Oreochromis niloticus: one gene and its partner. The protein of the gene in region 2 interacts with the protein of the main gene of each other region in a pairwise test. Links are inferred from orthologs where the notes say so. Each region holds a gene or a part of one and is shown on either strand. Other genes may lie near its edges. The genes, in order: mpped2a and rxrgb.

Region 1 (11,496 bases), on a different chromosome or scaffold from region 2:
ACGACTTTCTTACAGCCGCATCTGTTCTCGTTTGTCATCGTCTGGAATAAAAGTAAAACAGTCTCCAGATGACGGATGAAGATGATGATACACTTTTAGAAAATGTTTTCAAGAGTTTCCTTGTAAACATCAGGAAGATCCATCCTTTTCCTACTTTGCTTTCCCCCCCTCCTCCTCTTTCCATTTTCTTCCAAAGATGTTTTATGTAAGGCTTTCACAACTCAACTTATGCACAACTGCTGCAGCACTGCAAATAAAAAGGCAGGGAGAAACCATAGTAAGACTTCCCAGGGAACCAAAAACAAACCCTGTCAATCCAAGAAGCATAAAAATAATAAATCCAAAAATAAACCATGGTATTTTAGAAAAAATGTTACCTCAGAGAGGATGTGTTTGTTTTTGTTTTTTTTATTTTTATAAGGACAGAAAAAATGTTGTGTGAATGTTCTATTATTTGCCTTTTCAAAGACTGCGGAAGCCTCTCCAAACATCAAACCAGAGCAGAGTCTGCTCTGGTGAATCCTGTGCTGCTCGACATGTGTTAACCTGGACTCACGACGGCTCATTTGTTCTGATTTTTAATGCTGTCTTTGCAATCCATTAAAACAGGACTGATGTAATGCAAGCTGATAGGTGAGGTCGCCTCTCTTTTCACCACACTCGGAGGCACGGGCACTTGCTGTACTTGGCAGCCCCACTTGCAGCTAAGGAATCCCAAATCAACACAGTGGCACAATCGTGAGAACACTGCCAACACCAAGAGGAAGGCAAAACTCCACTGAGCTGTTTACACTACTCCATCTCCCAAAAATAATCCTGCTTACATGAATGTGATTATTATACACACACACACACACACACACACACACACACACACACACACACACAGGATTGTGGGACTCTGAGTGTTTCAGGCAAACTATATTTAAAAAAAAGAAAAAAAACTTGTCTGCCAGATGTTGCTGCTCCCTAAAGTGAAACAGTGCAGCTGTTTGTTGAAGATCTTAAAAACATCTCCTTTATGATTGTTTACATATCTGCATTATCTCAGCCTCTCACACTTCACATAAAAAAAATAAATAAATAAAAAAACTCAGTTCTGCACAACAATCCCGACAGCTGCCATCTCGGTTCAGCCCGGTGCAAACACCCCGCCACCACCGCATCTGCAGCCCAAAGCAAAGACTTCTCCCGGCCTCTTATTTGGCTTCATACACGCTAAGGCGACGTGGTTACTCCACTTAATACGCTGATTTGCCGATTTTTCAGCTTCACCTTTAATTTCAGTGTGATCTGAGAATGCTGTAGCTGCGCAACAAGATCGAACATGTGCGCACAAATCTTTAATCGTGGCTCTGCAGCTCTCTGGAACAGCGTCTTAGCGATCTCTAAGATGTGATTTTGAAGGTGCTGCAATGAAAGGATTCTCACAAGTCAATCATATGTTGTTGTTTTTTTTTGTTTTTTTTACCATAACATTGCCTAAACTGACAATTTTATGATTACCATTTTCTGCGCTAACAAGGAAAATTGTGAGGGGAAAAAAAAAGCCTTGAGCTTTGCTGTGATTTTACCCCCAACAATGTAATTATATGTGAGGACTTGGGAACGGCACATTTGTACAGACCTCACTGTGAAAGCTGTCTACAACAAAGATTAGAATGCTTTGGTTAGCGCTCTGTGTTTTGGCGTGGGCTGGATTTTCTCACATATTGTGCATTTTGGTGTTTTGACTTTCAAAAATTCAAAGCAGCGTCACCATCGGCATTGCTTTACAATGTTTATTGCAGCCATAAATTGCATTTATCCCTGTGTGTTCCGTTCATGATGTAAAAAAAAAAGAAAAAAAAATGATGGGCTGTGCTTTTCCCCATAAATAAATGCACACATAAAGGCAAAAAAATGAAAAAGAAAAGGGAAAAAAGAAAGAAATGACAAACAACTCCATTACAGTGATGATGGAAACTACTAACAGGCTCTTCAATCTCTTCCTGGCCCTGCTGCAGGTTAACTTCACAACATACACAGAGAATAAATGTCACGAGCACGCAGTGTACACAAAACCAGCAGTCACCAGCCTTTTGGAAAAAGCTCACAACTGCTCTAATTGGAAGAAGACACAAAGTGAGCTGCAGCTCTGTTAATATCTGGTCACAGCTAAAACACAGTGTTGTAAAGTGTGTTTGTGTGTGAGGGTGTGTGTCGAGGGTTGATGGGTCACAGTGCTCTGACCCACTAATGAGAGGAACAGCATAACCACATCAGACAAGAGCAACACTAAGTAACTGGTCTGATAAATAACTAAGGAGAGCGCCTTAATGCAGACAAAGCGTCCACATACCGCAATGACAACATGGCACAAATGATAACCATCTCACAGCGAGACCGCAGCACACGCCGGTGAACAGTACGCACCAACAGCACACGCAAGAAAGATTAAAAAAATAAATAAATAAAACAACACGACAAGTTAGAAAAACCAGCACAAGTATGTGTGATGCACAGAATTAGTGTTAGTCTTCAGATGCTGCACTTTTGTTCAGGGCTTCACCGCCACTAAAACTTTTATTCAAAAAGAATGGTTTGTACTGCGTTAAATCACGCACCACCGTACACTCAGTGAGCAAGGGCCAGTGATATCAGGAGTGTAAACAGAGACTGCATTAAACCTGCTGGCTTCCTGTATTGTTCTTAAAGCGTATGCATGATTCTGAAATTAGTTTAAAATGTCACCGAAAGTGCAGGTTTATAAATGACACTGCTGCAATGTGTCATTTAAATGTTCCTTGTGACCAGCTCAGTTTGGAATAAAGATCACAAATAAAATTCATTTGGAGAGAGAGAAAATATTTCTTTCTAATTTAACTTTGCCAGCTCATAACAACTGTGTATGTGTGTGTCCGTGAACTTACATGTGGACGTGTGGGGGCTGGAAGCGGCTCTGGTTGATGTTGTAGTGCGTGAAGGCCTGTGTGGGGTTGGAGCTGTACTCGTCCACAGTGATGGTCACTTTGCCATGAGCCATCCTTCCACAGTTTGGACATGAGACGCTGTTCGTTCACCGAGATTCAGCAGCGAGCCGTGCGGCAGTCATCCTTCAGAGCCGCTCTCCAGAAGCCCAGGAAGCCTCCCTGCAGCAGCAGGAGCAGCAGGAGCAGCAACCCGGCCGACTGACTCGACCACGACACACTGCACCGACAGGAGAGACAGACACACACACACACACACACACACACACACACACCAGCTGCTTTAAAAAGGCGTGCACTTTCTTCTGAATACACTCACGAGCAAGGGCTTCGCATAAGAAAATAAATAAATATTGCAGGTTAGACTTATACATTTTAAAGTGAAGCTCTACCCAAATGCAAAGACTAAAGACAAAGCATGCATGCATGCAGTGACGGCATGTACAGTCTTATTCAGCTTCAGAGAACAGAAACCACCTGAAATTTGCTAGAAAAAAAAAAATCATCAAACATCTCATCAAACACATCCTCATAAAAGCCTCAATAGAAAAATACAATGAGGCAATTTAAACACAATTAGCAGATGTACTCTACCTTTAAAAGCAGCAAGGGAATTTCTTAAGAGTAAAGTTTACAAAAAACTCTTCTCTGACTTTTTAAGCAACAATTTCCACTCTGGAAAGCACTTTATTAGCTTCAATGAAAACATATTTAAATGTAAAAAATTAAATTTAAATAAAAAATTTCAATTACTACAAGCATATTTAAAAAACAAAAAAACAAAAAGAAAGGCTGCAGGCAGAATCTCTGCTGGTGAGGAATTGCTGCAATTGCTTCTATAAAATGAGAAATTCTTCACAATGCATGCATCAAAGAGGTCTCCTTCCCCACTGACTGTAAGCCAAGCACAAAAACATATCCATGCTTCAATTTAGAAAGGATCTACTAGCAATTAATGAGATGCTATGGCATCTCTGCTCCACTGTACAACAAAGACTTAAAAAAGAAAATGCTGCTATAATGCATCCCTGGAGCTCACTCACCGGATCCGCTGTGAGTCTCCTTGCACCCTGAGCCTCCCTCCTGTCTGACCTCCCTAACTGATAGTAAAGTGGCCACTGTGGGCTTTGACAGCCGTTTTATACCAGACCTCCTGATCCAGCCATGAGCAAGAGAAGAAAAGAAAAGAAAGAGGGAGAAAAAAATGCCCTCAATTTAACAAGTCTGTCATATCTTTTGGAGGGAAATCAACAAAGCTCCAGAGTTCACATGATGGTTAAATCCTTGGATGGAGAAGTGAGATAAAAACAAAAAAAGCAGCTGCTGGATAAACAAGACCCCAATTTAAACTTTTTTTTTTTTTTTAAAGAAAATGTCCTATTTTCACTAAAGCATTGATTTATGTTTTCTGGGTCGGCTGCACCCTGCTTCCTATTATGCACGCTATAAATTTAAGTCAAAAAGATATATGCCAGCCGAGAAAAAGGTGGTTAAACTAGACTTTAAAAATAAAATAAATAAATAAAAATTAAAAATGCATGAGCAAAGTCTAAGCAGTTCCACTGCACACTCAACTCTTTACATTTCAAAGTGTGGAAAAAAAGAGAGTCCCATTAAAATCCTTGTTACACATGAAACAAGTGTATTGATCTTCCTGGGCCTTAAATTAAAAGAAAAAAAGAAAATTCACTTCAGTACAAAACTGCCCTGTCGGATGTCCTGCACTTCACCTCCTCTGCAATCAGTGCAAAATCTGAATCTAGTGCTACCGCTGCAGTTACTCGGAAAATTTGCTTTTTCTGGGCAAATGTAGGCCGAAAATCTGTGTGCAGCATGCTCCACAGTCTTCTGATTTTGTGTGTGTTTCTGTGTGTGTGTCGGGCTGCCAAAGCTCGCCTGTCTGTCTGTCTCTACCTTATGGCTACAGTAGTAGCAACTAGCACTCTAGCTTAGCCTGCTAAACCTGCCCTGGCAATAGATTTTTTTATTATTATTATGCACACTGTAGCTTCGCGTTGAGCTGCTTTTCTGTAACGGCGGTGCGCGCACACATGGCCGGTGCACGCACACATGGCCGGTGCAGTCCTCGGATATGTAGCGCGCTCGTACGCCAGCATATAGCTAACTTCACGAATAGAAATCACTCCGGTAAGCAGAGGAGGGGTTGAAGGCGAATAAATTGACCCTTTCTGATAAGACGCACACACAACGATGTGTGCTATGCGCCGCTCGCTATTAACACCGCCGCTTGCAGGAACGTACACAAAAAGAAAGGTCCATGCAATCCTGAACTCTGCTTCTGAGATACTAAAAGCACCCAAAGGTGGTCAGTGTCACAACACCGTCGCGCTAACCTCTGGCTCTTCCTCGTAAATGACAAGCCACCTTATAACCGACAGCTTTGTGTTTCTTTTTTCCCTCCCAGTCTCCTCTCTTTCCCCCCTAATTCCCTTCCCTTTTCGGTTCTCAAAGAAAAGCGGAAAGGTTGTTCTACCTTCGTCGTGTGGGGGTTTTTTGTGCGTGTTTTTTGTGGCCGGAGAAAAGAGTGTCGGGTCGGGGTCGCCCTCTACGCAGCGGCGGCAGAGGAGGCGGCGGCGGAGGGACGCGGGTCCATGCGGCAGCAGCAGCAGTAGAGCGGGCAGGTTCGTACGCGACCGTCCGGGGGTTGCGGCAGGCTAGGCGGATAGGGCAGAACCTTCGACCCGGCGGGACCTCTGCTGGCTCCTGTGGAAAGAAACCAGACAAGAAGAGAGCGGAGGGGGTAAAAGCCGGAGAGAAGGACGAGAGACACTGACAGACAAGAAGGGGAGAGAGAGAGAGAGCGCGAGAACAGCTTCGGTCTGACGGAGGGGGAGCCGGAGTGCAGTGAGTCGAAGCTGCCACTGGGGTCAGAGAGCAGGAGCAAGCACAACCCCCCGCCACCTCCCGTGCGCGTGCCCTTACCGGCGGGCACACGCAAGAGGCAGGAGAAGTGGAGGGGAGGGCGGGGAAGGAGGAGGGTGCTCCCGCAGTCCTGCTCTATGCTGCATTCACTTACTTTCGGAAATGGCAAGTCTTGTCAAATGAATGAAATGAGTAACGATGATTAGCCAGGATGAGTATTTTTTGTGTGTGGTAACAACAACGTTGCTTTGGAATATATAATACTTTATTAAACCAAAATGCATATTTACATACATTATTATTTTAAGCCCATGTTTCTAAACTGCCAGCTAATTTACAAAATATGTAAGTATATAGAGCCTAGACTGCAAACATGTGATATGTTATAATGCTCAGTTGATTTATTGGAGATGGATTAGTCATTTATGTGGCGACACTAAGATGCTGGAAATACATGTCTGTGGGGAAGAAAACGAGTACGTGTGGTATAAATGCAATAAATTAGTACTACAACTTACTAATGATGTGATCTTTTACTAAAGGGGATTACAAGTAGTAGCAAATACGTTATTTATAAAGAGATGTCAAGTGAGTTAGCTTTTAATAAATATAGGTTTCCAAGTATTGACTGATAGTATTAATATTTAAAATCTAAATTAATGCATTTTTGTGGCACAGAAGATTGTTGCCTGGAAAAAAGCTAAATTCTAAATTATTAAACAGAACTTTTTTTTGTTTCTTAAAGAACATTACATAGAGTCTGTAAGTCATACCTAATGGCTTAATTAATGATTGATAAGTCATAGAATGCATGCTTATTAAGATACATCAAAGTATTTGTTTTAACATATAGCTTCCGCTATTATCATGCCTTGTCCTTTTTATCTAGAGGACAAATCCAAATATCTATAATAGTCCATTCAGTGTCTTTTGAGAACATTAACAATAGACTTGGCAAATTCCCAACAGCCTTTAGTTACAGAGTAACAACATGACAAATGCTCATCTCAGGAATATTTCATAACATGAAAACCTAAACCTTGAAATACTAAGAAGCATCAATCCAGGTTCCTAAATTTACTGTTCTCCCTCTGTGTCTTCAGTTGGTCATGAAGAAAGCTATGGACTGGCAGGTTTGCTTTAGGATGTCAGGCTTTACGCCATGGTCTAACAAGAAGGTTGTTGATTTTATTCCTTGAAATATGCAGTAATCAATACATTGGTAGCTGTACCTTGAACTTGTTTGTAACAAGCATATATACTGAAGCTAACTGATCGTCTTGGCAGTGACAGACAGGAAAGTACTGATAGGAATGCACTTTTATCTTTTATGGGTAAACTTGGATACCTGTATGCCTCACTCTTTCCATGTATTTGAGCATCAGCTAACATGCACATTCTCACACTGAAACATAGATGAGTGGAAATGTTGACCTGGAATATTTTTTTTCATAAGATCACAGATGTGTGGGAAATGGTGCCAGAGTGTAGAAGGTGTTGTAAAATCTATGATTAGAAGACAGCATGGCCCCTTTGGGTACACAAGTAAACAATACTAATGAGTACCTGTGGGAGTCCATCACACAACCTGAAATGGGGCAGCACAGTTTCCAACTGGGAAAATCCTGAAACTTGGCTGACTGGTTGTAAAAGCAGCTTCCTGATCACCAGCGTTTAACTCACCGACTATCACTTCTCTGAAGTATAAGTGAAGTGTAGGAAAAAGGCTCGTCTTGATTTTCTTCAAACACATAATGTTTTGGTTGATCTTGAATTTTTTGTGTTTCTCTCTCACGGTGTGCAGCCTTTACTATGATCTGTTTGTTTAAAATGTATTTCCACATGAAACCAATGTCACACTTTCAGTATTCAAAGTAGAAAGCATCAGATACCGCATTTGTGTAGAGAAATAATCTAATCTCAACTTCTGGGTGCCAGCTTTGAATTATACTCTTTTTCAGTGCATGGTACAGGCTCTATTGTCATCACCTGAGCAAAGTAGGGTACCTGCCATCTTAAAAAAAAAATCAGGTTTGGCTCAATGGGAATTAACACAATTATTCAAACCATACTCTTGTATCATATAACTAACATATAATACTGTGCAAAAGTCTTCAGCCACCTCTCATTTTTTATATTTTTGCCAGGCGAATGGGAAATAGATGCAGCAATTTCCACAAACATGCAAAGATAAATGGAAATACAGTAGATAAGGCAAGAACAGATTTTTTACAATTCTAAAATCTTATGGTACAGGTCTATTTTTATTTTTCAAGCACAATGAATGGCATGCTGTGTTTTTACACTGTTTGCTAAGTGTTCATTGTTCATTTGCAATCCTTAGTACAAGTTTCTTCTCCAGGTGAGGCCCAGTCTCCAGGGCGCAGCAGCACAGAGCTTTACGAACGAAGGGTTTGTGCTGTTGAGTTTGACTGTAGCTTTGACTGGTAACTCAGTGTGAACTGATAACTGCATTAATCATTTTCTGTCTTGCAATCAATCTCATTTCAAATAATGTAAACATGCCAGCTGTAAGTTATTGTCCACTTCTGAAAAATGGAGGCGCCCAACTAGTTCCATCATAGTTAATGATGCATCACATCTACAGGATATTCACAGCTTGGCACCACATGTGCACCACATATGCACAGAATGAAAAAGAAAACCCAGAGTCTTGAATTATATTGTTAAAGTTGTTGTTTGTAAGGGTGCTGCTGCCACGCGACGTTCACGTTCTGTTCACGTCTCGTTTTCTGGCCGTTCACCTTGACTTAATTCGCTGTTATTGTAGACCTTCGGTGTTACTCATAGTCATTCAGCTATACTCATTAAACTACCGTTAGTGCAGAGTTATCATGTGTCTGTGAAGGGAAACCTCTTGCAGCAAACTATGCAATCTACTCAGAAAAGTTACCTGCACAGCCTGTAAGAAAACTGCAGAAGAGAGTATTCAGGATAAAGTGAACATTTTCATAGCAAATTGAAGGCTATTAAAAGTCTCAGCTTTAGGCAACATTAAAAAGATGAAACAATAAATCACTATATATTTTTTCTTTGGTCTTTATTAGACTAGAGTCTGTGTTGTGGGTCATGAGTTAAACTGCCTACAGACAAACTTTAAATAATTGATGATAATTTAAATGCTGCCACCTCTTTCCTTCACTGATTATTTTAGCTTATTCTTTGATCCCATAAAGCCTTTCTTTGAAATATTATGGTTGACCTCCATGTTTGCAGCCTTCTCTGAAGCTTTGAATCAGTCCCCAACTCACCTCAGTGACCACAGAGGATCTTGAGGTGAAAATCATTATACGTAAGGTAGAGCAAAGCAAAATGAAGGGAAATTATTATTTTGCAATTGCTGTCCATCACTGAGTTCAACAGCAATTTAAAGCATTCAAGAATTAAAATAATAATAATAATAATGATAATAAAGCATTAATTTGTCAGTGCCAAGGCTATACCTTTTAATATACTGATGGGATTTTTGATGAGAAAAGGCTGTGTGGGACTATCCATAATGGGCCCATCTGAGAGGCTCCACCACATTTACATGTCTGCCAGTTGAGGCAGGGCTGGCTTTTTTCTAATTTTACTGACATGCTTCAATTTCCCAGGACCATCAGCGCGTCCCCCCACTGCCACAACAGCCCTGCAAGTCATTTCCATTTGACTTTTCTCTTATCTGCGCAAAAAAAGAGAAAAAAAAGCATTTCCATCTACTAGCCGGGGGGTGTTAATGTGAAAGCAGGGTTTAAATTTTATGTGGAGAGGCCACATTTAAACATTTGACCAGCGTTTGTTCTCCTGACTGCATATAGAAAACTGATGATAGATACGGGACCAAATGTCAGAGAAAGAAATGGCTTTTGCTGTGAATGTTTTATTCAGCCCCGTGCCGCGCCGATCACATTTATACAATAGAAAATGTAAATGTTATGCAGAGTGCTAAAAAACCCCCACACTATATATTTTATGACCTTCTATAAAAGAGGGTAAAATGACTTTCCATCCAAATAAGGCAAAAAAAAAAAAAAAGGAACATATATTTAATGGGAGAGGGAAATAGGAGAGTGAGCTTCTTGCGGGAGGCACAGGGTGATATTCACTTAACCTGCCGGCTGCGGCGGTTCACCGGCTCTAACCTGCACAGATTTATGCCCGTCTGTGGCACTGTCTGTCTTCACTGCCCGCCTAAATAAAACGAAAGGCCTGTCTGTCTGAGAGGCCCATCCGCACATAGGCAGGAGTTGGGGTTTTTCAAATGTTAATGTCATTCAGATTTATGGGAGGCAGATAGATGGTTGCTGAGGGTATGGCAGGCTAGATACTGTTTATGTCATTGAAATGCACACAGACAAAAAAAATGTTTGCCCCTGAGCCACAGCAGCAGCAGCACTCTTCTGGCACCAGCCTTGTGTTTAGAAATGAACACACAAAAATGAATACTATCTCAAGATTCAAGGAGTTTTCTTTTTCTCACTTTTCCTCAGCCTGGTGTTATAGGACTGATAAAAAAAAGTGGGGGAGAGGAACTGAAATCTACATACCAGCTAATTTTATTAGCACATAAAGTGCTTTTGTCCAGTGGAGCTTGAACAGAAAGCGAAGAACAGAAGTGTAGGACAGAAGAAAGGCAAAGAGAGAGCATACTGGCACGAAAGCCAAGTGTATTAATTCCCCTCCCATTCTCCTGCTGTGTTGTGATAGACTGAGTAATATGCAGGCTCACTTTCTGTGCCAAAGGCTAGACGAAGGCTCACTCGAGAGGACTTTGTGAGTCAGTCTCTCTCTTTTTGCCTCCTCTCCGTCTCTTTCTTCCCAAGCCTCTTTCAACTTTAGCAGTGGTAAACTGTAAAAATAAAACAATCACTTCATTTCCCACCCCACCACCCCTGAGATCCAGCTTTACTCGCAACCATTCAACACAATCAGTGTGCCTCCGCTCCATCTCTCCATCTCTCCATCTCTCCCCACGTGTGTGAAAACGGTCAATACCGTATAAATTAGGAGAACTCTGAGGCACGCTGTGATCCACGTGGAGTGAGGGTGTATTAAATTACGTTAATTGACTGGATGAAGTTCAGAGGAGGACAACACTGGGTTGCACTCAGTCCTCAGCTGCTCTGCTGAAGTGGCTCCTGTTCTCCTCAGGTGATGACCTGAGCAGGCACATTCACAATTAATCCACTATTTATTCTATCACGGTGATAACTTTCTTTCCGTCCTCTGACTGCATTTTCCAAGAACTCCATGCACAGTTTTATGAGTCAAAGCCTGCATGTGTAGTCCACATGATGTATTCCAGTGTGTGGTATAAGCATGTGGCGCACTTAGTATTGTGGAAACTACACAGTGCATTACATATTCAATGGCCTGAACAAACTGATTTAAAAAAAATTCCAGTAATATTTATTATGTCTTTCAGCAGTCATTTGGCATGAGAGCCACTTATCCTTCCTTCTTTTGAAATTCACTTTAAGCCTCTTGTTGGGCGGATAAATGGCAGGAAGGGGTTAGACTTTTAGCTTGTTGTTGCTCTTGTTGTACAATAAAATGCTAATATTGAAATGCTGTTTTCGGTGTTCTGTCTGCTGTATGTAAAAGGGTTGAAAACACAGCACTTCTCTGTGTGCTTGTGTGT
Region 2 (12,365 bases):
GGTGTGTGTGTGTGTGTGTATGTGTGAGCGGGGTGGGGAGGTGGGGAATGAGATCTGAAGTTGATGGATGTTAATAATGTGAATTTATTTTTTAATAAAGCATAAAAACCAGTATGAACATATGTTTTTAGAATTTCAAAATTTTCACTAAAGAAAAAAATACACATATAAACACACAGACTCTTCTATCTATCTATCTATCTATCTATCTATCTATCTATCTATCTATCTATCTATCTATCTATCTATCTATATGTGTAATTCCCACGTCCCCCCTTCTTGAGCCAGAGTGCAAAAAAAGCCCTACCAAAATCATTTCAATGCCTTGAACCATGTGCCACCATTAGGAAGACACAAAGAGAGAGCTGACAAATGACCATTTTAATGCCTCTGTTTGACTTTAATGAATTTATATGTTATCTGGCCCTAATGGAAGGCTGCGCTGAGGGGCTGGCGCAAGGCCATAACAAATGAAAAGCTCTGATTAGTGTAGAATGAGCTGAGAAAAAAATCCCATTCATCTTGGTTAGCATCCTCCTGTGCTCTTTTATGGGTCGCTGTTACAAGGACGGGAGTGCCGGGGTGCCTGTCCTATTAGCGGGGCAGCCCAAAGGCCCGCTGAGTGGTCAGCGGCCGGGCGTTGACGGAGCGTCTGCCCGCTCTGCAGTTCAAGACTGTGAATGCCTCAGTGCGGCTTGACTCCTAAATAACCTTCTGAGGTACCGGGAGCTTCACCCCTACATGACCCCGCACTGTGAACAGGGGTGTGTGTGGGGGGGCTCCGGGGGGGTACCCAGGCCAGGACTCACACTAACAATTAGGTAAACACTGGAGAGATCCCTTCACAGGAAGACGGCAGGAGATTAAAAAGAGTGTTTTGCATTTGGAATTGTCATAGGCTGTAGTCACAGATTTAATAGGCTTTAAGCAAAGCCAAATGAGATATTTAATTGGAGTTAATAGCCTACCAAATACAGATTAAGCCGGATAATTTGAGAGCTGGGAAGCAGGTGTTTGTTTTTGGAGTTGTGTGTAGGCTGCAAATAATGTAGCTAATTTTTTTAAATTGCAGACTATATGAGAAGAAGGTAAAGAATCTGTGTCAGGTAAGTACATACCTACAAACTCTAAAGTCAGTGGAGTAATTATTTTAAAATATAAGGATAACGTTATTTTATTGTATTTAAACTGGTTGTCATGCGCAAACATATCGCCTGTCATCAATAAAATCCAGCTTGCATTCCCTTCCTAGACGGACCAGATTTATTTTCATTGGCCTATTAAAGATTGATCTGATTACGCTGCCTATAAATAGGAAGAAGACAACGTGTAGGCTGTAAAACACCTTATTTCTTTCTTTCTGTCGCCAAAGTAAAATTTTACTGTGAAAATATTGCAACACAGTGTCGCTGCAGGAGAGATGTTTCGTCATGATCGTGTTGGAGCTTGATATCGACCACTGTTGTCATTGGGAGAAGCCCTGTTTTTGCCGCCCCCTCCCTCGCTGGGCCCCTGTGTAGAGCCGCCTTGCAGAGAGAGTTCAGTCGGGCTGGGAGAGGAATGTGCTGGGATGCGGAGCAGCACCGACTGTAGGAAATCGACGCAACAACTCGCGCAGTATGGACAGCAATGATCCATATCTACACCTCAGTGAGTACTCTTGAGTTATTTAGCCCGGGTCCGATCTTGCTGCGGTGCTCCCCGCGAAGCCGCTGCATTTTGTTGTGACTTCAGCGGCGAGCGCGTTTGTTTTATGGCGTCTTCTCTCTCCAGTCTGCAAGCGGTGCGCGAAAGTGTTCTCGGACTTTAACCACCAACTGCTGTGTGTGGATCCTGTTGTTACGCTTGCTCTTAAATAATCGCTTTAGAACAGCGCGAATTGAAACGAAAGATGCGGTCACTGCAAAAGTCAGGTGATCATGGCTGTGCCGGTCGGGCAAGGTCAGAGGTTGGCACTTTAATTGCGCTTATGTAATTTATGGTGCTTGTCGCGCGTCTCTTGCTAAACAGTTTGAGACAGAAACACAATTTATTGGTCTGGGTAGGTCGTCAGATCCAGAGAGGGGAAAAGCCTTCAACTGCGCAGAGGAATGGCGGATTTCCACTGATAAACAAACTTATAGGCTCCCTCTTTGTGGTAGAAAGGAGTGCAGCGTGCTAGACGCGCCCTGGTCACCGCCGTGGCCATATTCAACTGAATGACAGCGTGATGTGATTTTGCTCAGTAAAGCTGAAGTCTGGTCTGACTCGGTGACTTTGCCCTTGAACCAGTGGACTGGATTTGTTCTGTTATCCTTCTTGTGGCCGCTTAAAATCATCTGAGACAAGGAAATGGGACGTCTTGGAGCAACACGTGGGACACACTACTTACAGAAGTATCCTGTGCCATTTAAGTGTTTAGTTGAAACCAAACGTGGTCTAATAGGCTTGCGCGTATAGCATATAGTCTCATGAAGTCACACACACTTATCCTGTCATGTATTCTTAGCACAGTGATTGTAAAACCTAAAAAAGTGGTTTTACCTGTCTTGTGTGGGGAAAATAAAATCTAATTGCAGGCTATGTCTTTGAAGGCAAAACTGTACCGCCTGTTTATGCTATCACAGATATCTTTGCACCATTTGGAGGGGCTGAGTATTGTTTCCATAATGAATGTGGCTCCCAGGGGAATGACATGACATCTGGATAGGAGAGTGTGTTGAGAGAAACCCACAGTGTACAGAAGTAATGGAGCAGTCCCTCAGGGCTACACTCTTTCTTCTTTCTCTTTAAAGATCTGTTATGATTGGGCAATAGTGGCATCCTAAGATTTAGATATTAATAGATATTAGCCAATCGTGTTTCTGCATTAAAGTTCCAGTATGCGATTTAAACACTGTTTTTTTTTTTCCAAAAATTGCATTGGTCTTGGTTTAAACAGAGTCTGCTCTCCACAGTAATGCTGCTGCAGCATTACTCACTACCCGCAAAGGCTAAAAGTCTGTCTTAAACGCAAAATAGTCATAATTTTTGGTATGAAAAAATGAATTATGAATAAATCTTAAAGTAGTTCTCATAAACCAGGATTAGCTGAATCCTCCTCTAGTGCATTCGCTTTTGAATGTTGGTAGTAAAGCCACAGAGCTAAATGAAAGCCACAACCACTGAAAGTCATTCCAAATCTTGTTTTGTCTGTGTTGGCTCACAGCTATGATTTAGGATGCACCAAAGCACGTATGAAAACAGGGCCATAAACAGTACTCGTATTCTGACTTGAAAATGGTCACCCTTTGTAATCTGTTAGGAGCGTGAAGCTGAGGCAAAGAAGTGTGGAGTCAAAAAAAAAACCAGTCTGGTGATTATGTGCAGATTGCTTCATGATCCACCTCTTCCTCCTCTTCGGCTTTTCCCAGACTTGTTATGTTTCAGCAGGTTTGATGCAGGCCTGCTCGGAGCTTGGAGTAGAATCAGCATTTTTTTTCTCTCTCAGCACTTCAGCATTTTTTATTTTCCGTCAGTGGAAGTGATTCTAGACAAGCTGATGAGCGCTTATTTTGGTACATTTGACGGTGAGAACTTATTTGGCTCACACAACAGGGAGGTCATGACAGAAAGAAGAACTGGATTGAAACCCGGGTGGGGGATGGATGGGGGTGAGGGGGTGGTTTGAAAACTCATCACTTCCTAGGGATCAACGGTTGACCTCCCAGTGCACGCACAGACAGAAGCAGGAGGACACCCACACACATTCACACACCCATGCCTATTCTTCACAGCTGCGCAGTAGCTTGTATGAGTAACTCCTGTACAACAGACTGTGACCGTGATGGCACGTGACTTAAAGAATGCAAGTTTTACCTTTTGACTGTCAAGTCCCCGCAGTAATAAAACCTCCTCCCCTCCCACTGCTGCAGAATTAAATACACCACACAGGTAGAGAAGGTGTGGCTCTTTGCAGGTATTTGCTCAAGGATCCCATAGCTTGAGACATGCAGTACCTCTGTGTTCACGCATTCATTAGCACACAATACCTACAAAAGGTTTATTTTGAGGCACTTTTTAAGTGATCGTGTGCGTATTTGTGTTTCCGCGTAAAATAGTCAGCTTGCCTTGATTGTGTGTTTGAGTGGGTGCCAATTGTGAGAGCAGGATGAGGGAAAAGAGGGGGCGAAAAGAGGCCATTCTCTGGGCTAATTGCCAGTAATTAGTCATTAGTGAAGAAGGTCAAAGCCTTGATTTAATTCCAGCTTTAATCAAGCAGAGAACCTTCAAAGGCTCACGTGCTAAAGCAATGTTTAGTTATGAGATGTATTGAGCTATTTCTGATTTCAACAACCTATCTAATTTGAGTTTTTAATTTGTTCACTGCTTGGAAGGCATCTTAACATCTGGCTCCTTTTTCCATCTGATATTCAATAAATTGTCATTTCCTGCAACAGCATTTCTCAGTGTGTGCAAGCTTTAAGCTGCACCTGCGCACACAGAACTAAAGCTGTTAATGCATCTGCAATATTATTCCTAGAGGGAACATTACTTGATTACTTAATTGATAGAAAACTGTTTGCCAGCAGTGCTACTATTTGTTTGAGAAATGCAGAGTGGTTCACTCTTACCGCTCTGCTAAAAAGGCTGGAGTGCAGTGAATAATAGTAATAAAGATATGGAATCAAATAAGAATTAGAAAATAGTCACGCAGGAAAATATTTGAGGATTCAATAGTGAAAATGTAGTAATCCATTTGTGGATTTGTGCAGTTTTTTAAATTTAATTTAAAAATGCTAAATGTGTGTTAAAATCTTCCACTGGAAATAGGCCAAACGTTCCCTAGTTTATTACTTACATGATGTGAATTATTTCTTTGTTTTGTCTTTCTTTGTCATTTATAATTGCAGTTAAGTATTTACTGGTGTTTGCACAAAACAGGCAGTTAGAAGCCATAACCTTGAGTTCTAGGCCCATTTTTAGGCAGAGAGTTGTAAACTCTGACTCTGTAGGCAAAGGTGCTGGAAGTTTCTTAGGTTTACATTTGTAGCCCCAAGTTCTTTTCACCAATCACGTTCAGGCAACTTTGTTTGCATTTCAATAACTTTTAAACATTTTCTTCAGTTGTGTGCATACAATCACCTGTGAAATGAACAGGAAGGTTTGACCCGGATTTCCAGTATCCGCTGTTTGGATATCCTCGCCACACAGGAAGCTGTGAAAATTGGCCGTTGGCTTTGCAGGCCAAGTCAGCAGACTAGCTGATGTGTTCCCATGTTGAGAGATTAATGTATGTGGAGTCAGTTCCAAAACAAGCACATGCTTAGAAAGTTTAAGCACTGTGGAACTCATTTATACTATTACAGGAGTGTGATTAATGAGCGGAAGTTCATAACTCAATAGGTGCTAGTTTGACTGACCAGCCAAAATATTCCTCATGGTGCTTTTTTGTCCTGTGGGTGCACAAATGGCAGCAACAGGTAACAGCTAAGCACATTAGATCTCATCAAACCTCTCCATGAAGAACATGCTGGAAACCCCGCTTGGTTATTTTTAATGCTTTGAGAGTGCCATTTTAGTGTGCTGCTCCTGTCTCACTTCTACAGAGCATCAACATGTAGCAGAAGCACACACTACTGTAGCATAATTTCCCTGCTCTTTTCTGCTTTTCCACTGTATTTTCCTATAAATGTCTACCCAGCTGAATATGCCACATGATTATGTCCTCAGTGTTGTCAGAAATCGCTGCCGGCAGGGAGAGCAGGCCATAAGGAAAACCTTTCTCCTGAGATGACGGCACGCTGATTACATTATTAGAAGTTTAGATTTAAAAATGTAGCCTAAATTTAGGGCTGCCAATTATCTTCTTCCCGCGCCTTAACAAACCATAATACATCTGTGATTGCTAATTATGGCTCTCGGGGTTAATTTCACGTATTTTATGTGGGCCATGACACACTAATATAACACAGCGTGCTTTTCAGAAGGATTGCATTATTTTAATTTCTCCCTCTGGGATTTCTTAAAGAGACGCTAGCATTTCTCCTCTTCCGTCATGTTCTCCTCTTATGTGTCAGGCCGCTGAGTCACGGGAGGAGGACAAAGCCAAACGAGTGTCACTGAGAGTATATGGTTACTAGTGGTTCTCCTTTAAACACTGTATAGTCGACCCAATCACTTGCTGGGTAGTCTGCGCAAGAAAGCTCTGTTGAGTCGTGTAAGGAAAATAGATGGACGCAAGAAATGGAAGTTTCTGGTGCTATATCTCAGTTTGAATATCTGAAGAAGAACATTCGATACACTGGAAGGATAAATTAGAAGGAACACTTTAACATTTACGGGTTGGTCTATTTTGTGGCGATAATAACATGTTGCCTTGCCTCTGTCATTACTAAACAAGTAGAGCATCTACTTTTTGCATGCATATTTTTAAGTCTAAAAAATGGTTACCTGTTTTAAAAGCCTGCTATAGTAGATGCAGTCCTCCACCAAGGGTTGCTTTTGCAGATCAAATCTATCTCTGCATGGTTTATTTAGCTTCCCTCAGGATTTCTCATGTATTGTTCCTCGCTGCCTTTAAGTTATATTTTTGGCCTGTGTGTGCATCTGGATTTTCACTTTGCCCTGTGTTTTCCTGGCTATCCTAGAGCACCTAAAAAGACAATTCCTGACTTCCTGGAATGCTATCACACTTGTTAAACACACAAACATATTCACAGAGGCGACTCGACTAAACATGCTGCTAACAATACCTTTAAGCGTGAATGCTGGCACAGTTATTTCACAGTGTGATATGGTGTTAAGTTATTTTTGGTGAGACAAAATAGAACTTCAACCTCTGACCACTTCTTGTCACCCACTCAACACACGTCATTTATAAAACCTGCAAAACAGAAAGAGAATTTGTGATGGATGCTTTAAAAAAAAAAACAAGAGGAACATAGTGAAGAAATGTCACTGACATATAATGACCTTTGCACTGTATTAGTGTCTTCATGCTGTCTTCCCTTGCTCTTTAGTCCTGAACCCTTTTTAGAGGAAGTAATTGGAAACGTCTGGTTGTACTGTACTTTTAAACGACCCCTTCCACCATGACCTCCCCCAACCGCGCCCCCCTCCGGCCAGACCTCCTGGTTGTACCACTACAACAGGTGTTTCTGTATAGATAGAGGGGGAGATAAAGAGAGAGGAGAAACACGAGTTGAGTGGGCGGTAGAGGAGCTGATTTGTGCTGCAGTCGGGCAGCAAACAGTTCCTGTGGGATTGATCTCTGGGGAAGGATAATCTGGGTAATCCTATAACCGGCGCTGTTGGACTCCGCCTCTTTTGCTCTTCACGGAGGCCCCCCATCCCTCCCTCTACACGCCGACCCTTCCGTCACGTTCTTCTCTGAAAAGTGCTCGATTGAGCATCCACCAAGCCAGCACTTTGAGTGTGACACCTGGTCCTGAGCGACTCGTGTTCTTCCAGCGCTACCATTTGCGCCCGAAGACATGTGGCATCCAGTGGCATCACCTGGAAGTGGGGGCAGCCCTGGAAGGGAAATAGGTTATGGTCACTGTGAGTAGCTGGGTATTGTCTTTAGTGTGTGTGTGTGTGTGTGTGTGTGTGTGTTATTGGAAATGGAATCATTCTGATGCAACGTGTCTCGTCTGCGGGTTTCAACAGAAGTGAAGCTTGAGCACGAAAGCTAGTGGTGCACAGATGCATTTGAGTAATGCCTCTAATCCCTGTGCACTCTTTGATGAAGTTATTTTGAATTTCTTTCTTCCGGGGACAAACCAACAACTCTCATGGCAATTGCATCTGCAGATCGTTAAACCAGTTTTTTTTTTTTCTTTTTTTCCTATTATATATATTCTTCTCTCACCCATGTTGTATCTATTCCTCGGTAAAAAATAACTTAACATTTAATTATTTATTTAATCAAGCAACTGCATCTTTAAATCTACTTCCAGGATATTCGCTGCTAACAGATCAGTTCCCGCTTTTATCATCACTGGGTCATTTTAACAAGTTGTGGCAGGTACAAGGTTTTCCAGTTGGAGATCGGGATCTAGAACTAGTGACTCACTTGAATTCTCAGATGAGTTCAGCGGGGTTGTCACTCAGTCTAAAAGGATGCTTCCAGCTCTCTTTGCCTTGTCCTTCACTGTCTCTTTATCTCTCAACACTTGTCCCTTCCTATTAGCCCTCTTCATCCCGCTTTCTTTCTCCATTTGTGTCTAACTGCCCGTCACCTTTCCATCAACAGCCTCTGTGATGTGTTTGTTTCCTTTTTTTTTTCCTTTCTGTCCTTCCTGAAGAGGTGTGGAAAGCATTGGTGTGAGCTCAGTTAAACACATGCTGTAGTTGGCCTATTAAGTGGCTTCTCTGTCTAGAGAATATTTCTATCTGCAAATTGTGCATTTTAGAGCACCCTTGTGTTTTTGAGTGTCCTTGAGAAACACATTCTCCTGAAAATACTAAAGTTGTTCAGTGGATTTTCTTGGCCTGGGTGGAGGTATGGTGTGAGGACAGTAATATAGTCTAATACAGACTTTCCAACCTGGCAGTCCAAGTGTTTTATGTTCATGGTTATGCTTATGATGGGAGGTTGGCTCTTTCTGTTCTGGTCATTCATTAAAAGCACCGCAGGACATTTGACAAAGCTGTGATTAAATCCATATTATGCTGAGCTTCAGCTATGTTGATGAAATACAGTGTTGCCTATTTAATATCAGGAGCAATTCAATAAAACTTAAACAAACAACAGGACTATAGCTTAATAAATGCTGGCAGTTTTGCATGTTTTTCAACAGTCCAGTACAAATTGATTGATATGGCATTAAACTGGAGCCACCATATGGTTTCATATTGATTTTCCTTGTCTGAAAAAGCGATTAGTTTATAGGAACTTTTAAAGCAACCAAGCACTGGGTTTAAATAAATTTGATTCCATGCTAACTTTAAAGATATTTCTGTTATTTGATTTTCACATTTTAGTTGCTTTGGCAACGTGGAGTAAATCATAGCTAAGAATAATCTTTAGAAGATTAAAGGAAAATCGTGAAATGCTGCTTGTAGTTAAAGGGGTAGAGTGTAGTTATTCTGAGGGAGGGAATCCTTGTTTTTTTTTTTTTTTTTAAACTTTATTTTGTTGTGCTAAATGTGCTACCTCTTAGCATCATGCCCGAATAACCAGCAGCTTGCCTGACTTTAGCTGTTAACTTAAAGCAAAGCCGTTAACATGGCTATGGCTTAGAAGCTTAATCCTATCACTACCTCGCTTCTTGTCATTTAGCATTTTTCTTCTCATTTCCCGATTGGTCTGTTTATGTTTCTGTATATGGCCACAAGGAACACATTGTTTTTCATGTGATACGGTACCCCAAGACCAGACTGTCTGTGTTAACTCTAGCTGCTAAGCTGGTGTAAGTCCGACTGTCTTTCTAGGATCCAGAAAGCTGGTGTAAGTGTCGTCCTCTTTCTAGGATCTGTCTTCAGTTCAAGAGGTCAGGTCGGCCTGGTCGCACTCCCACAGTCACAGCATGACATGAATGGGTTTGTGTGTATTCTGTGTGTCCGTGTGTGCATGTCAACAGCACATGGCTATATCTCCATTGCCCCCTGTAACAGTGAACGACTACTTCTAGGAACTAATTTGAGTTACCTCAGCAGGCAAAGCCAAAAGGGCGGATGCTCGATTTGCATTGGGACTTTCGGCCCAGCTGTTTGTTTGTTTTCCAGGACTGCTTGGTCAGCCTGTTCTGTGTTAGCTCGTGTTGTTTAAGTTCCAAACTTTTATCACTTGCAAAACAGTCTTTATCTTGTCCCTGTCTCAGTTCTGGGCTCCTCATCGATTCTCTGTGGGCCTGTGTTTAAAAAAAAAAGAAAAAAAAAAAAAGGTCCCAGTAGCAGGTCTGTGTTTGATTTAAGAGAACTACAAACGTGGTCCGCCTGTGGGAAAACAATATATGTACTTTCCAAACAATTTGCTTTGCTTGTATGAATGCTTGTTATAGGGAAACTGAAAGAAATGGGGGGAAGAGTTCATTCCTCTTCTGTTCAGAAGTATATTTGATTTCACTGGAGGGTTTCACAGGGCAGAATTTGGGGTCAGAGAAGTTTGCTATCTGAAGCCCTTATGTTGTCACAGCCGTAAGCCTTTATGGACACAACTTTTTTTTCCCCAACGCTTTTCTTTATGTTTCCAACAAGACAGGAATGATACACAACTGTAACATCTGTTCTGCTGGTAAAATGAGCGTTATTAATTTTGGCTGACAAAGCAGTACGAAAATGGAACAGGTGTCCTTGAAGCAGCTTTGGACAGAGTGTTGCTTATGTAACAGTGGACTGTATCTTCATTTTCTATCACCAGCAACCATTTGTATCTCCTAAAATCACAGCTGTGCAGAAAATAAACAGGGGCTTTTCTCAACTCATGATCTAATGTCCTCGCACAGGCGGGGTGATTAGGAGTGTGTGGTGGTAGTGTTAGTGGAATCATGCGGGCTGGGAAGAGAAGGAGAGCAGTGCCCTCCCCCAGCCAGCCATCCAGCCATCCAGCCAGCCATCCGTTGCTACCTTCCTTCCTCCCTGGGTCTATTCGGCTCTCAGTCCCCTCCTCCCCGGGCCTCCCACCTTCTTGACAGCTGGCCTGCTGAGCTGCACATACTTACCCGGGGATAAGAGGATTTACTGACACAATTGATCAGACATCAACCTCATTTAGTCAAGAAATGAATGTTAAAAGGGTGGTGATTTTTATGCTGGTGTGTGCAGACAATTTGTGGGGGGTTTCCCCCCCCTCTTTTAGTGTGAGCGAGTATGTGCACATGCAAGGAGTGAGTGTGATGGTTTGCAGCCAGCGCGGAGATTTCTTAATTACATGTTCACTGAATCTAATGAGCTCCTCAGGCTGTCCGTCTGATTACTTTACGATGCATTCTGTTCTATGTCATTTGGTCACGGCACTGTCATCTACAGACTTGAACTCATTTTGCATAAAAACACATATAGAATAGACGGGTATTGAACAAATCCATGCACGTGCTGAGGATTCCTTTTTGTTGGGGTTCATGTGATAAATATTGAGGTTTATGTTGTCATTTAGGAGTGGGTCTGCTGCTCCCACCCCGTCATCCCCTCACTGTGCACTCCCAGTGCTGGTCTGCTTTCCAGACGGGAGATATTATTAGTTTGGTCTTATTGAATTACCACTCAGTGCAGCGCTCCATCCAGTTACAACCCAGTAATTAACTGCAAGGGATTTAGAGGGTTTGTGGTTTGTGATGTTTCTTTAAACCTGTTGATCATCAGATCAATGTGATGTATTTGTGGCTTTGGGTATTCCTTCCTTTGGCTTTCAAAGTAAATATGATCATCTGACACAGCAGAGGCAATTTGATGATGATGTTTGGATTTTTTGCATGCAAGGGAACAGAATAATGTGATCTTGTTAAGCTCGGTAAAGGTCATATTAAGAATTATTGTTAGTATTCACTGGTCTGGTTAAGTGGTTAGTCTATAAAAATGCCTTGGAGGAGAAAAGTACTAATCCCAATTTCCCAAAGACCACAGGAAAAACAGTCAATCTTGATGTGTGTGGACATGGGTTGTACAGGTAAGTTTAATATAACAGTAGCGTGATTGGTTTGTTATTGTTGATAACTGTGCAATCACTCGACATTCAAAGATCTTTCAAACACAATAAGCATATCAAAAGGGAGCTAAAATGAAAATAGGCTGATGTGCTGTAAAACTGTATGGGTTACATTTCTTGCTAAAAGAAGCTGTGATTTATACTGGGTCAATTTTTAGGAGCCTTTCATCACAAAGTCAGATCAAGCTGTATTTTAGCAGGTTACTGTGTGAGTCCTGCATCCCCGTCAGTGCAGTAATTTCTGGGAATGATCAGTAGAGACCTGCGCTGCTGCAGACAGAAAACTCTTTTGAACTTGGCTCAGGAGTTTGGTAACAAGTGACCTTTGATTTGCGACACTAGTGTTCAAAGGTGCCCTTCACTGCTCTGTTTGTTTGCTCTCAGATAGATGCTTGAGTTGCTGAAGCGTTGTATAGGTTTAAGCAAGACTGAGAGGGAAAAGTTAAACGACATATTTGTGAATGCTGCAGACTGCTAACGTACATTTCTGTGCCATGAAATGAATGGCAGGACTATGGTAGGATATAGTCTGGGCATTTAAGGGTCTTTGTTGTGGAAGTGACTTAGATTGGACTGCCGGTTGAGGCGGGTCATTCAAGGATAGGCTTCTTTGAGCCGCTCAGGGCCCATTTGTGCTTCCTCCACTGAGCATGTTGGCCTTCATACACACAGACACAAAACGCGCACACGCCCTTCCCAAAGCATGCTCACCTCTCGAGCAATTCCCTTTTAGGCATCCCACCAGCTGACTGTCCAT

The links.
Region 1: the proteins of rxrgb (region 2) and mpped2a interact in binary tests that used the Homo sapiens proteins (3 or more experiments, as listed by UniProt). The two-hybrid records come from large-scale screens. The link is inferred for Oreochromis niloticus from reciprocal best matches to the Homo sapiens genes RXRG and MPPED2.

The regions. Positions count from the first base shown.
Region 1 is NC_031965.2:7,297,675-7,309,170, reverse strand, and holds the start of mpped2a (metallophosphoesterase MPPED2a), read right to left. Parts: upstream 6,003-11,496; 5' UTR 5,464-6,002; intron 4,123-5,463; 5' UTR 4,013-4,122; intron 3,190-4,012; 5' UTR 3,026-3,189; coding exon 2,913-3,025; intron 1-2,912. UniProt on the Homo sapiens protein: Displays low metallophosphoesterase activity (in vitro). May play a role in the development of the nervous system.
Region 2 is NC_031986.2:42,886,469-42,898,833, reverse strand, and holds the start of rxrgb (retinoic acid receptor RXR-gamma-B), read left to right. Parts: upstream 1-7,377; 5' UTR 7,378-7,454; coding exon 7,455-7,521; intron 7,522-12,365. UniProt on the Homo sapiens protein: Receptor for retinoic acid. Retinoic acid receptors bind as heterodimers to their target response elements in response to their ligands, all-trans or 9-cis retinoic acid, and regulate gene expression in various biological processes.